Arabidopsis thaliana: one gene and its partner. The protein of the gene in region 2 interacts with the protein of the main gene of each other region in a pairwise test. Each region holds a gene or a part of one and is shown on either strand. Other genes may lie near its edges. The genes, in order: SEOa and AT5G51570.

What was found.
Region 1: the proteins of AT5G51570 (region 2) and SEOa interact in a two-hybrid assay, tested with the Arabidopsis thaliana proteins (one large-scale study listed by BioGRID).

Annotation. Positions count from the first base shown.
Region 1 is NC_003074.8:245,356-251,182, forward strand, and holds SEOa (sieve element occlusion protein), read left to right. Parts: upstream 1-1,836; 5' UTR 1,837-1,860; coding exon 1,861-2,481; intron 2,482-2,562; coding exon 2,563-2,643; intron 2,644-2,713; coding exon 2,714-3,183; intron 3,184-3,261; coding exon 3,262-3,371; intron 3,372-3,471; coding exon 3,472-3,614; intron 3,615-3,688; coding exon 3,689-4,153; intron 4,154-4,255; coding exon 4,256-4,906; 3' UTR 4,907-5,117; downstream 5,118-5,827. Other genes in the region: AT3G01660 (S-adenosyl-L-methionine-dependent methyltransferases superfamily protein), read left to right, coding at 177-692, 772-1,077. UniProt on the Arabidopsis thaliana protein: Scaffold protein required to form the phloem filament matrix in sieve elements.
Region 2 is NC_003076.8:20,947,109-20,952,047, reverse strand, and holds AT5G51570 (SPFH/Band 7/PHB domain-containing membrane-associated protein family), read right to left. Parts: upstream 2,758-4,939; 5' UTR 2,538-2,757; coding exon 2,343-2,537; intron 2,242-2,342; coding exon 2,121-2,241; intron 2,019-2,120; coding exon 1,927-2,018; intron 1,497-1,926; coding exon 1,400-1,496; intron 1,188-1,399; coding exon 814-1,187; 3' UTR 536-813; downstream 1-535. Other genes in the region: AT5G51560 (Leucine-rich repeat protein kinase family protein), read right to left, coding at 3,435-3,916, 3,999-4,859.

The DNA of each region.
Region 1 (5,827 bases), on a different chromosome or scaffold from region 2:
CCATTAGCCTGAAATTGGGCTACAAGCAAACATACCAAATAAATAGTAGGGAAGAGCAGAAATAATCACACCACTCATCAGTTATCCATTCCTTTCTTTTTACATAAATTTTGTCACTTTTTCTACAAACGATTCTTCGCTTCTGTGAAATTTGATAAAGCGAAAGTTTTTTTCTTATGGATTCTCTTCGATTCAACCTCCAACAATCTCCATTTCAATTGAAACCTAGAATTCTCCGACCAAGAATCACCAACATATCAAACCGAATCGATGAAACCGATCCTCGACCATCATCCTCGGCCGGTAGGATCCAAAGGTTAGTACTTAACAACGAAGGTCGGACCAAACTAAACGCCGATCCTGACCGTGAATTCTATTCATATCCACGGTTCGTGAACCACGTAGATGATAGTTTCATATCCTCCTTAACCGAACTATACAGAAACCGGTTGAGACCCGGTTCGACTGTACTTGACTTGATGAGCTCATGGGTCAGCCATCTTCCAGAAGAAGTGAAGTACGAGAAAGTAGTAGGGCATGGTCTTAACGCACAGGAGCTTGCTCGTAACCCTAGACTCGATTACTTCTTCGTCAAGGATCTTAATGAAGATCAGAAGTTCGAGTTCGAAGACAAGTATTTCGACGCTGTTTTGTGTTCTGTTGGTGTACAGTATCTACAACAACCCGAAAAGGTACGTTACCGTAAACCAAAACCGATTTCGGTTATGTCAAGAAGATTCCTAAACCGGGTCTTTATTATATAAACCGCAGGTGTTTGCAGAAGTGTATAGAGTGTTGAAACCGGGAGGAGTGTTGATAGTGAGTTTTAGCAACCGGATGTTTTATGAGAAAGCAATTAGGGTTTGGCGTGATGGAACCGAATACAGTCGGATCCAATTGGTGGTTCAGTACTTTCAGTCTATTGAAGGGTTTACTCAGCCGGAGATCATCCGGCAACAGCCTGGAGCTCAGATATCGGTTTTGACTCGGCTTATGGGTTTTATCGGTTTAGCTTCTACGCCCGATCCTTTTAATGCTGTCATTGCTTATAAAAATTTCAAACCTATTTATGAGTAACACGCACATAAAAAAAAGTGTATAAGAATTGGATGGGAAGTTTTTGAAGAAAAGGAAAAAACCTCTCAACCAAGTCCAGCTGGAGAAACTTACAATACAAATTTTTAAAAAGTGGAGAATGAAATTACAGATTTCAATCAAATTGGAAGAACCTGTATTACACAAGAAATAATTGACAGAAAGATTACACACTTTGGAAAATATAATTAATATATAGTTTTCAATTAGCATGCATTGTATGTGATTCGTTTTGTTCGAAGATTCATGGACAATATCCAAGCAAGGTAGCCTTGTCCCTCTTCAAACGAGTATCACGAGTTGCTTACTTTATGGTTTAGATTCTATAATAACAGTATATATATTAGAAGGAAGTCTTTTATATTAAAACAAAAATCCATTGTATATGTACACTATCTATGTTCCATGCATGTGTCTTCTTAAATAGCTATGAAGTCCCTTATTTTACTATGTACATACTAAATTTAGTTATGTTTATCAGGATAACTCGTTGTACCATCAGTATATAAACTTTGAAATATTAAATGTTTCTCACTACTAGTATTAGACTGTTGCAGTTGCGTTAGAGACGTTTCATATTTAGAAATAATATTATCCAAGACCTGAAATTCTTATTATTATGAAAATTATGAAATATCGATAAGGGAAAAACTGTATGGAAGTGTAAAAGACACCAAAACAGATATTGAACCAAAGGTGAAGCAAAGAAGTTGATTCAAAGTTGCCACTTTATTTAACCTTTTGCACCAGTATATATACACACACATGGATACTAACCCAATCATTCATCACAACACATCAGATCCTTCACCATATATTTCTCTCAACCTCGCCAATATGGCCCAACGCTTTCAATTGAACTCACAAACCCTCCCAACGGCCGACCCTCTCAAAAGGGTCTCCCTTATTCCAAGATCCGCCGAGCAGAGGCTGGCTGATAACGCAGGCGAGAGGCGTCCTTTAGCACCGAGATCTCACGAAGACAACCCCTTTGGGGGTCATACTGATGATCACCATGTTGCTGCTCCTGCGGACCATAATAAGGTGATGGATCATAATAGCGAGAATCTCGGTTCCATTGTCCCTAAGACTGCACATTACCCTCATCCATCTGAGGAAATCCTTGATGCTAATATCCGACATTCGATGGTTCCGAAATCATTGGGTCCCAATTCGCTCGGTGGAAGATTTGGTCCGGGAAAGAAACAAGCTTTCCATAGAAATGGCAGACCCATGTTTTCACTTTCTGATGACCGAGTCATGGCTGATAGAGTCTTGAAGACTCACAGTCCAGACATGATCTTCTTTGATGTCACATCACTTCTCTCCGTTGTTAATGACATCTTCAAGTCTCATGTCCCATCCATTGACTCCTCTGCTCCTAAGGTTTAGTTTACTTGTGCAACAATTAATCCCCATTTCAAATACTGATTTTTACAAGCGTATTAAATTTAAAACTTTTTGCAGCCATCACTCGTCTTCAAGGACTACGCTGATCATACCTCCTTTGAAACTTTTGCGGATCTCATTGATCAAATCTCTTGCGAGGTATATATGAAGCTTTCTTGTTTTAAGTAACGTTTGAGTCAGTATCTAAGTATCAATGTCTCTGACACAGATCGACTGCAAGTGTCTCCATGGCGGTGAGTCTCACGGTATGATGACATCAGGGCTTCATTTGGATAGTCGCAACACGACGACGTTCTCTGTTCTGTCTTTGGTCTCCAAATACCGTTGGGATGCTAAGCTAGTCCTTGTCCTATCTGCTTTGGCCGTGAAATACGGCGTTTTTCTCCTCCTCGCGGAGACACACGCAACAAATCAGCTCACAAAATCTCTGGCTCTCATCAAACAGCTCCCTAGCATCTTCTCCCGGCAGAACGCTCTACACCAGCGTCTCGACAAGACCCGAATTCTGATGCAAGACATGGTTGATCTCACCACTACCATCATCGATATCTATCAACTCCCGCCAAACCACATCACAGCCGCGTTTACCGACCATATCCCCACTGCGGTTTACTGGATTGTTCGCTGTGTTTTGATATGTGTTTCTCACATCAGTGGCGCCAGTGGTTTCAAGCAGGAGTAAGTTGTTTTTCTTTCTGATTTCTAGGGTTTCAAGTAGGAGTAAGTTGAGTATGTGCTTCTCATCTATGTTTTCAGTCAAATCATGTCGTTTATGGAAGTTTCGGAGATACATGAGAATAGCGAAAGGCTTAGGAAGATCAATGCTTACTTGTTAGAACAATTCAAGAAGAGTAAAATGACCATCGGTAACTACGACGTCGTTTTAAGCTCTCTCTCTGTTTCTATATATTTAAGAGTATTTTTATTCCTCTGTTCTCAAGCTCTGTTTTTTTTACTCTGTTACAGAGGAAGGTATAATCGAAGAAGAGTATCAAGAACTCATCCAGACGTTCACTACTATCATTCACGTCGACGTTGTTCCTCCTCTACTTCGTCTTCTCAGACCCATTGATTTTCTTTACCACGGAGCTGGTGTTTCAAAGAGACGCGTAAAACCTCCTTATATCTCTGCATCTGTATATGTCTCTTGTCAGTGACTGATCTGTTTTCAAACATTAACCAGGTCGGGATCAACGTGCTCACCCAAAAGCACGTTCTGCTTCTGATATCAGACCTAGAAAACATCGAAAAAGAGCTCTACATCCTGGAATCGCTCTACACAGAAGCATGGCAGCAGTCATTCGAGATTCTTTGGGTTCCAGTTCAAGATTTCTGGACAGAAGCTGACGATGCCAAGTTCGAGGCCCTTCACATGAACATGAGGTGGTACGTTCTTGGAGAGCCTCGGAAATTAAGACGAGCCGCGATAAGGTTTGTGAGGGAATGGTGGGGTTTCAAGAACAGGCCTATACTCGTTGCACTTGATCCCAAAGGTCAAGTTATGTCAACCAACGCCTTTCCTATGGTCTGGATCTGGCAACCCTTTGCTCACCCTTTTACCACCGCAAGGGAACGTGATCTATGGAGCGAACAGGAGTGGAATCTTGAGTTCTTGATTGATGGCACTGATCCTCATTCCTTAAACCAGGTTTCTTGATTGAATAAAAAAACAGAGTACTAATAAATTTTTCTTTCTCTTGTGTTACACGTAACCTGAAAATCTGTGTGTGTTTCAAATGTTTTTTATCAGCTTGTTGATGGAAAATACATATGTCTCTACGGAGGAGAAGATATGCAATGGATCAAAAACTTCACGAGTCTCTGGCGTAATGTAGCGAAGGCCGCAAACATTCAACTTGAGATGGTTTATGTCGGGAAAAGAAACCCTAAGAATGGAATCCAGCCGATAATCAACACAATCCGGGAGGAAAATCTCAGCCATACTTTGCCGGACTTGTTCCAGATCTGGTTTTTCTGGACCAGGGTCGAGAGCATGTGGGAATCGAAGCAGAGGATGCTGAAAGCCCACGGAATCAAGGGGAGAGAAGGGTTTAAAGAAGAGGAAAAGGACCTTGTTCTGCAAGAAGTGGTTGCTATGTTAGGTTATGGAGGAGAAGGAGATGGATGGGGACTGGTGAGTAAAGCATCGGACATGATGGTTCGAGCCAAAGGGAACTTGTTTTCTAGGGGTTTGGCTGAATTTAACGAATGGGAAGTCAACATCCCCACAAAGGGTTTTCTTACAGCGCTCAATGATCATCTCTTAATGCGTCTCCCACCACATCACTGCACAAGGTTCATGCTTCCTGAGACTGCTGGAATTATACCTAATGAGGTTGAGTGCACCGAGTGCCGTAGGACTATGGAAAAGTATTACTTGTACCAATGCTGCCTTGAGTAAGATCCCATAATACTGGGGAACAAGTTGATTTGGAAGCCAACAACTTGTTCCTATAAAACCAAATAAGTTTGCGTCTTTTTTTTCCTCCTTGTTGTGAGTTTCTCTACTCTTCATGTTGTTGTTGTTGTTCTGCTCTACTAAAAGCAGAGAGTCTTTGTAATAAAATTTGTGTGTTTGAGATTTCGAAATAATAAAGGTTTATTTATCGGAAGCTTCTAGAACAATGAACTGATTGAACATTGCTTCTTTGTTGATTTCTTGATCCTTAAGCTCCTAGAACACTAGTGAACTAATACACAAGTAACACAAGTGACCGTGACATTTTTTTAATGTGACAGTAATATCTTTTGACATTTAGCCTTTTGAAATGAAATTACTTAATGCTAGTAAAATATAGGCAAAGTAAAAGGATGGATCAATCAATCAAAAGATGAACAGTCTTTTGAGTCCAAATCACATATCGTAATATATCTAATAGAAAGTTAAAAGTGTTAGTCTACATTATTGAAAAAATAAACCATGAGACTGATTGCTGTATTACAAAGGGGGAATACAACTTTAAACGACAAATCAGCGGTTCCTAGCCTGTAGTTAATGTAAAAGTTAAATCTTCCAAACCATCAAATACTTTTTAAATATTGCATATATCGGATTCGATTTCGAAGAAGCTCTTATACGTATTTCTAATGATGAGATATTAAAATTTGTTGCGTATAGAAACAACAAATTTAATCCTACCTATAAACGTTATGCTAAAGTTAATAGAAAAAAAAAAAAACATGCATAGAATAAACCCAAAGCATAACAATCTTATTTTTAGAAAAGTGATTGTCTTTAGATAAATATATCCTTGGTTACTCTTTTATTGCTTTTTTTAGCCTTATCCAAGATATATCATTGAGCTTAAGAAATTCTTTAGTT
Region 2 (4,939 bases):
ATTTATAAAATGTTTAACAAAAACTTATGGGTTTTTTTTATATAAAAATATATATAATTTGAAAACATAATATTGTATGAAAAATTGGGTTATCAACATTTAACCTATACAAAAAAGAAAGACTCCTAAGTACATCAAGTAATTCATTGCTAAAGGCCCTCTATAATAAGATGTGAACTTATAAACAATATTAATGATCTATTTGATGTAACGTAGATATTTGAAAATGGTTGTCATGATCAAGAGAAAATGGCTGTGTTGGAGAGACTCTAAGGCAAACAAAAGGTCATTATACCTCAAAAGAAGCAGCTGGTTTAAGCTAAAACATGCTAGTATTTGAAAATTTAAGAACAGGTTTGAGATTTAATGAAAAAGAATCTACTCTAATCCTTAAAAATATATAAACACTAACACTAACATCCAGAAAAATGGTTAGAGATCAACGAGTGTTTCCCGGTGTGGTTTCTTTAAGAGTACAAGCTTTGATCCAATCTTTCGATGGTGGTGTAAGGTACGACCCCCCAAATCACCAACTATTACATGCTTTTGTGGTATAAGAAAGAGAATATGACTCAACAAAAAAGAACACAAAGATATGTCTCAACTTTCTCATGTTCCTCTTCATAAGAGTTCCAAGTATTTTGGGTTATTATCTATACCATAATAACAATATCACCATGAAAACCATTATAGAAAAGAAAAAAAAATAGAGGCAAAATCCAACAAATTCACTCTAGTAAAACATAATTTAAACCATAGTCAAGTGAAAGCAAAAGTAGCAAATTCAATTCACAAGCCGAAGTGAATCTCTCTCTAGACGTCGTTGACCTGAGTACTAGCGGCCGCCTCCATCATACCGTTGCGTATCTGGTCGCTGATGTCCCTCACATGTCCCGGACCGTGTGGGAGAAACACCGTTGTGTTCTTTGACGAGTTTCCAAGGTCTCTAATAGTGTCAAAGTACTGTGTGATCATGATCAAGTCCATCACTTCTTTGGCGGATGTGCCTTCTACTTTGTCAGAAAAGTTCAATATGTTCTCCCTCAATCCGTCTGTGATTGCTTGTCTTTGTCTAGCCACACCGACACCACCTAAGTACTTGGCTTCCGCTTCTGCTTCGGCTCTCTTCACTTGGAGAATCTTCTCTGCTTCTCCTTTGTAAACACTCGCGAGCTGGAGCCTTTGTGCTGCATTTAAGTAGAGAATGGATTTGAGAAGCAAAATTGAAATGAAGTCAACAAACTGTAAATTAACTTCGCATAAACTCTTAACGAAACATCTAACTGAGTCCTATAATCATAAAATGTATAAATCTTTCTGTGCTTTGATGTGTAGGGAACCATTAGAGACCTGAAAAGTATCAGACACTGATTCCCTCAGTATCGGAAATAAAGGTTACCTGCATTGATTTCGTTCATTGCCTTGCGTACAGAGGGATCAGGAATAATGTCAACCATTAGAATGTGCTCAATGCTGTATCCATAAGCACCCATCACCTGAAGAAACAAACAACTCCAATCATGAGTCATGACCATTACAAAAGTCTTCACCAGTCTCGAAAGCAGGCTACCCTCGAATATATGTTATTACTTTTCTCTATGCAATCCACACATATCTATGATAACACTTCACAAGACTCAGTATTCACCCATTAGTTATCTCAAATGCAGGATCACGATAGAACATCAAGAATCTCACAAATGAAAACATAGTCTTGAACAAAACCAAACATATACTTAACGTTGTAACTTTTCTTTATGAAATCCAAACATGCCTACTTGATAATCCACCTATTAGTTAGCTCAACAAATGCAGGATCACTACAAAACATCAAGAATCTCAAAACAGATATCTTATATCCTATTATGAATAAATAGTCTCTAAACATACAAATGAATGAGATAGTGAAGGAACAAGATGTTATACCTTCTCAAGCTCCTCAAGAACAGACTTGGCAACTTCACCCTTTTGTTCAAAAAGAGCATCAAGCGTCATCATTGGGACCAAAGCCCTAACCACTATGATTCAAAAAACAAACATACAAGAACAAATCAAGAATCAAAACAGAGCTTCTTCAAACAAAGAAACAAAAAACATCAACAGAGAAGCAAAAAAATTACCATCAAAGACATAAGCTTGGATCTGCTCTTTAGGGTTTTGAAGCTCATAAAACGCATCATCAGCACTAGCTTTCACTACACGATACTGAATCGAACAAACCAGCTGCACAAACACATTATCCTACAAACAACAACGACAATAAGCCTAATTTACATGAATCTCACCACATACAGTATTAACCAAAATTCGCAAAGGATCAAAAGGAATAAGTGATCACGAACCTTAGTTTTGGTTTCAATTTTGACATCAAGAGATTTGATCCTAGTGGAGAGAACTCCGGCGAGCCATTGACCGGCGAGAGGGTTGAAGAAATGACATCCCGGTTCAGCTATATGCTCGAATCGACCCCAACGTTCGACCACACCAACGCTAGCTTGTTCAATACAACCTCCTAAGATACAATACGTATTACCCATTTTTACGCAGCACTCTCAAGCTTTCGAAGAAGAAGAAGAAGAAGAAGAAGTCTCGCTTATAAATCTCCACGACTCGTTCGTTTCTATGGAAACAAATGGTGTTATGTGATCGAAGCCTTTTGCTACCGTTAGATCAAGCGGTTTGAGGAGAAATGGACGGTTAGGATTAGTTACTGATTAATTAGCTATATCAACAATATCTTCCTTCCTTAGATATTTGGTATAATCCTTTTTTGACCAATGAAAAGTATAATTTGATATTTTTTTCTGTCTTTTGTGGACAACTAATAATTTAATTTATTTCTTTCAAATAACTCAAGTAATTCTAAAAATTTACTAGGTCCAAAATCTAATCCTGAAGTCTAGAAAAATCATGTAAATTATTCGAATCTGGTGGCCAATGCTAATAGTTAACCTTTGACTTTATATTTATAAATTTGTATCTAGATCTAGATGACTAATAAAGACTTAAAAGTTAAAGCTCATATCCAAATCTAAATCAAAACCATCTAACAAATCAATTCTTTTGATATTGATTTGATCAATATCAGAAAAAAAAATGTTATACGTTATTTTTTTTCTATATTGAATTATTGACAATAAATTGGTTCAGAAAGTTATAAAAAAAAAAGAAGACAAAGTACCATAAATATTTTCCATCTACCGAAATTTTTTAAAAGTAATGTACTTGTCTTGTCTTCTTCTAAGGTTGAAGAGCTTAACATAAACACAAATCATACAAACCAATAAAGTACAACACGTTGAACAGTTTTTAAACGTTAATGGGAAGGGAAAAGGCACCTTTTTCTTAACCCTAAACACAGGAAAAGGTGACTAACAAACCCTTCCTTAATTGATTCCTAAGGTACACATTACACATTTGCCTCGAGAGAGTTCTCAGAGACAGCTACTACAGTTACCTAGCTCATGAACTACAGCTTCCACGGATGGTCTTTCAATGGGAGATTCATGAGTGCATAGCCACGCGATTCTAGCTAGCTTTGTGGCTTCATATTCAAAGAATCTTCCTTGAAGATTTGGATCTATGTAATCATTGAACCTACAAGCTTCAGTTCCAAGCTTAACAAGATGCCTAACCTTCTGTTTCCCGGAGATTATCTGAAACACAAGAATCCCGAAAGCGTAGACATCGGTTTTCTCGGTGAAACGTCCGGTTGTGGTGTATTCTGGAGCGAGGTAGCCCATTGCTGCACTGTCTTTGAGTGCAGAGAAGACAATGTCGTTTGTGAGAAGTGTGTGGAGGCCTGAGTTTGAGAGTAGAGGACTGTATCGCTGGTCGATTAGAACTTTCTCCGCTGAGATGTTTTGGTGAACCAATGCTGGCTTGCTTCCTTTGTATGAATGTAGATAAGCAATCCCTAAACACAAAACATCAAACACATAAACAAAAATGAATCAAGAACGCTAACAAAATTGGTTCGGCATAAATAAAACTCATACCTTTTGCGATGCCTTTAGCAATGGATACTCTCGTGGACCAATCAAGAACATGCGCATCACCATCTTTGAGATCAAGATAGCTCAGTAAATTTCCATTAGGAGCAAAATCATAGATGAGAAAACATTCTCCACGGCCTCTTGAACAGCAGAAGCCTCTAAGTTTTGACAAGTTTTCATGTTTCAGAGACGCCAACATGTTGAGTCCTTTCAAGAACTCAGGTTCTTCAGATTTGCAACTTGTTTTACTAAACCGTTTGATCGCTACAGCAGAACCATCTCTCAAGATTCCTTTGTAAGTCGCAGAGAAGTTGCTTCTTCCAAGCAAATTCACTTCTGAGAAATACTGTGTAGCAGTTTCAACCTCTTCAAGATTGAATCGAAAGCTCTGGATAACTTCTTGAGCAAAGACACTGAGATTCCTATTGTCTGAAAGTGGATCCCAACCATTAGTATATTCAAGACTGGCCAATGGAGAACCATTGTTCTTCCTAAAACCTCCTCCTACGGTGTTGAGACGGTTGTCCGACATTTCATAAGTGGTTGAAAGCTTCTGTTTGCGTCTGCGATAATGCGTGAACAAGAGGATGCTAATAGCAGACAATGCAATAGTCGAGACAACCAAACCAATAAGGATTGCACCTTGGTGAGATTTTGGAGGAGTATTACAGTTTGTTCCATTACAAGGTGACCGTAGATTAGCTGATTCTGGTATATCCCGGGATGGAAAACCAAACACGGTTGCACCGTATGGCTTAGGTTCCTCAGGAGCTGTGCCATTGCAAGATTTCAACGGCGAGAACTCAGCTCCACATAGTCCCAAGTTGTTTTCAAACGAAAAACCTTCATTTAATCTCTTCAGTACTGTCAAATCGGTACAACAGAGAAAGAAATATAAACCAAAATGAGAAACACTTCACAAAATACGCAAAGTTAGTTTCAAA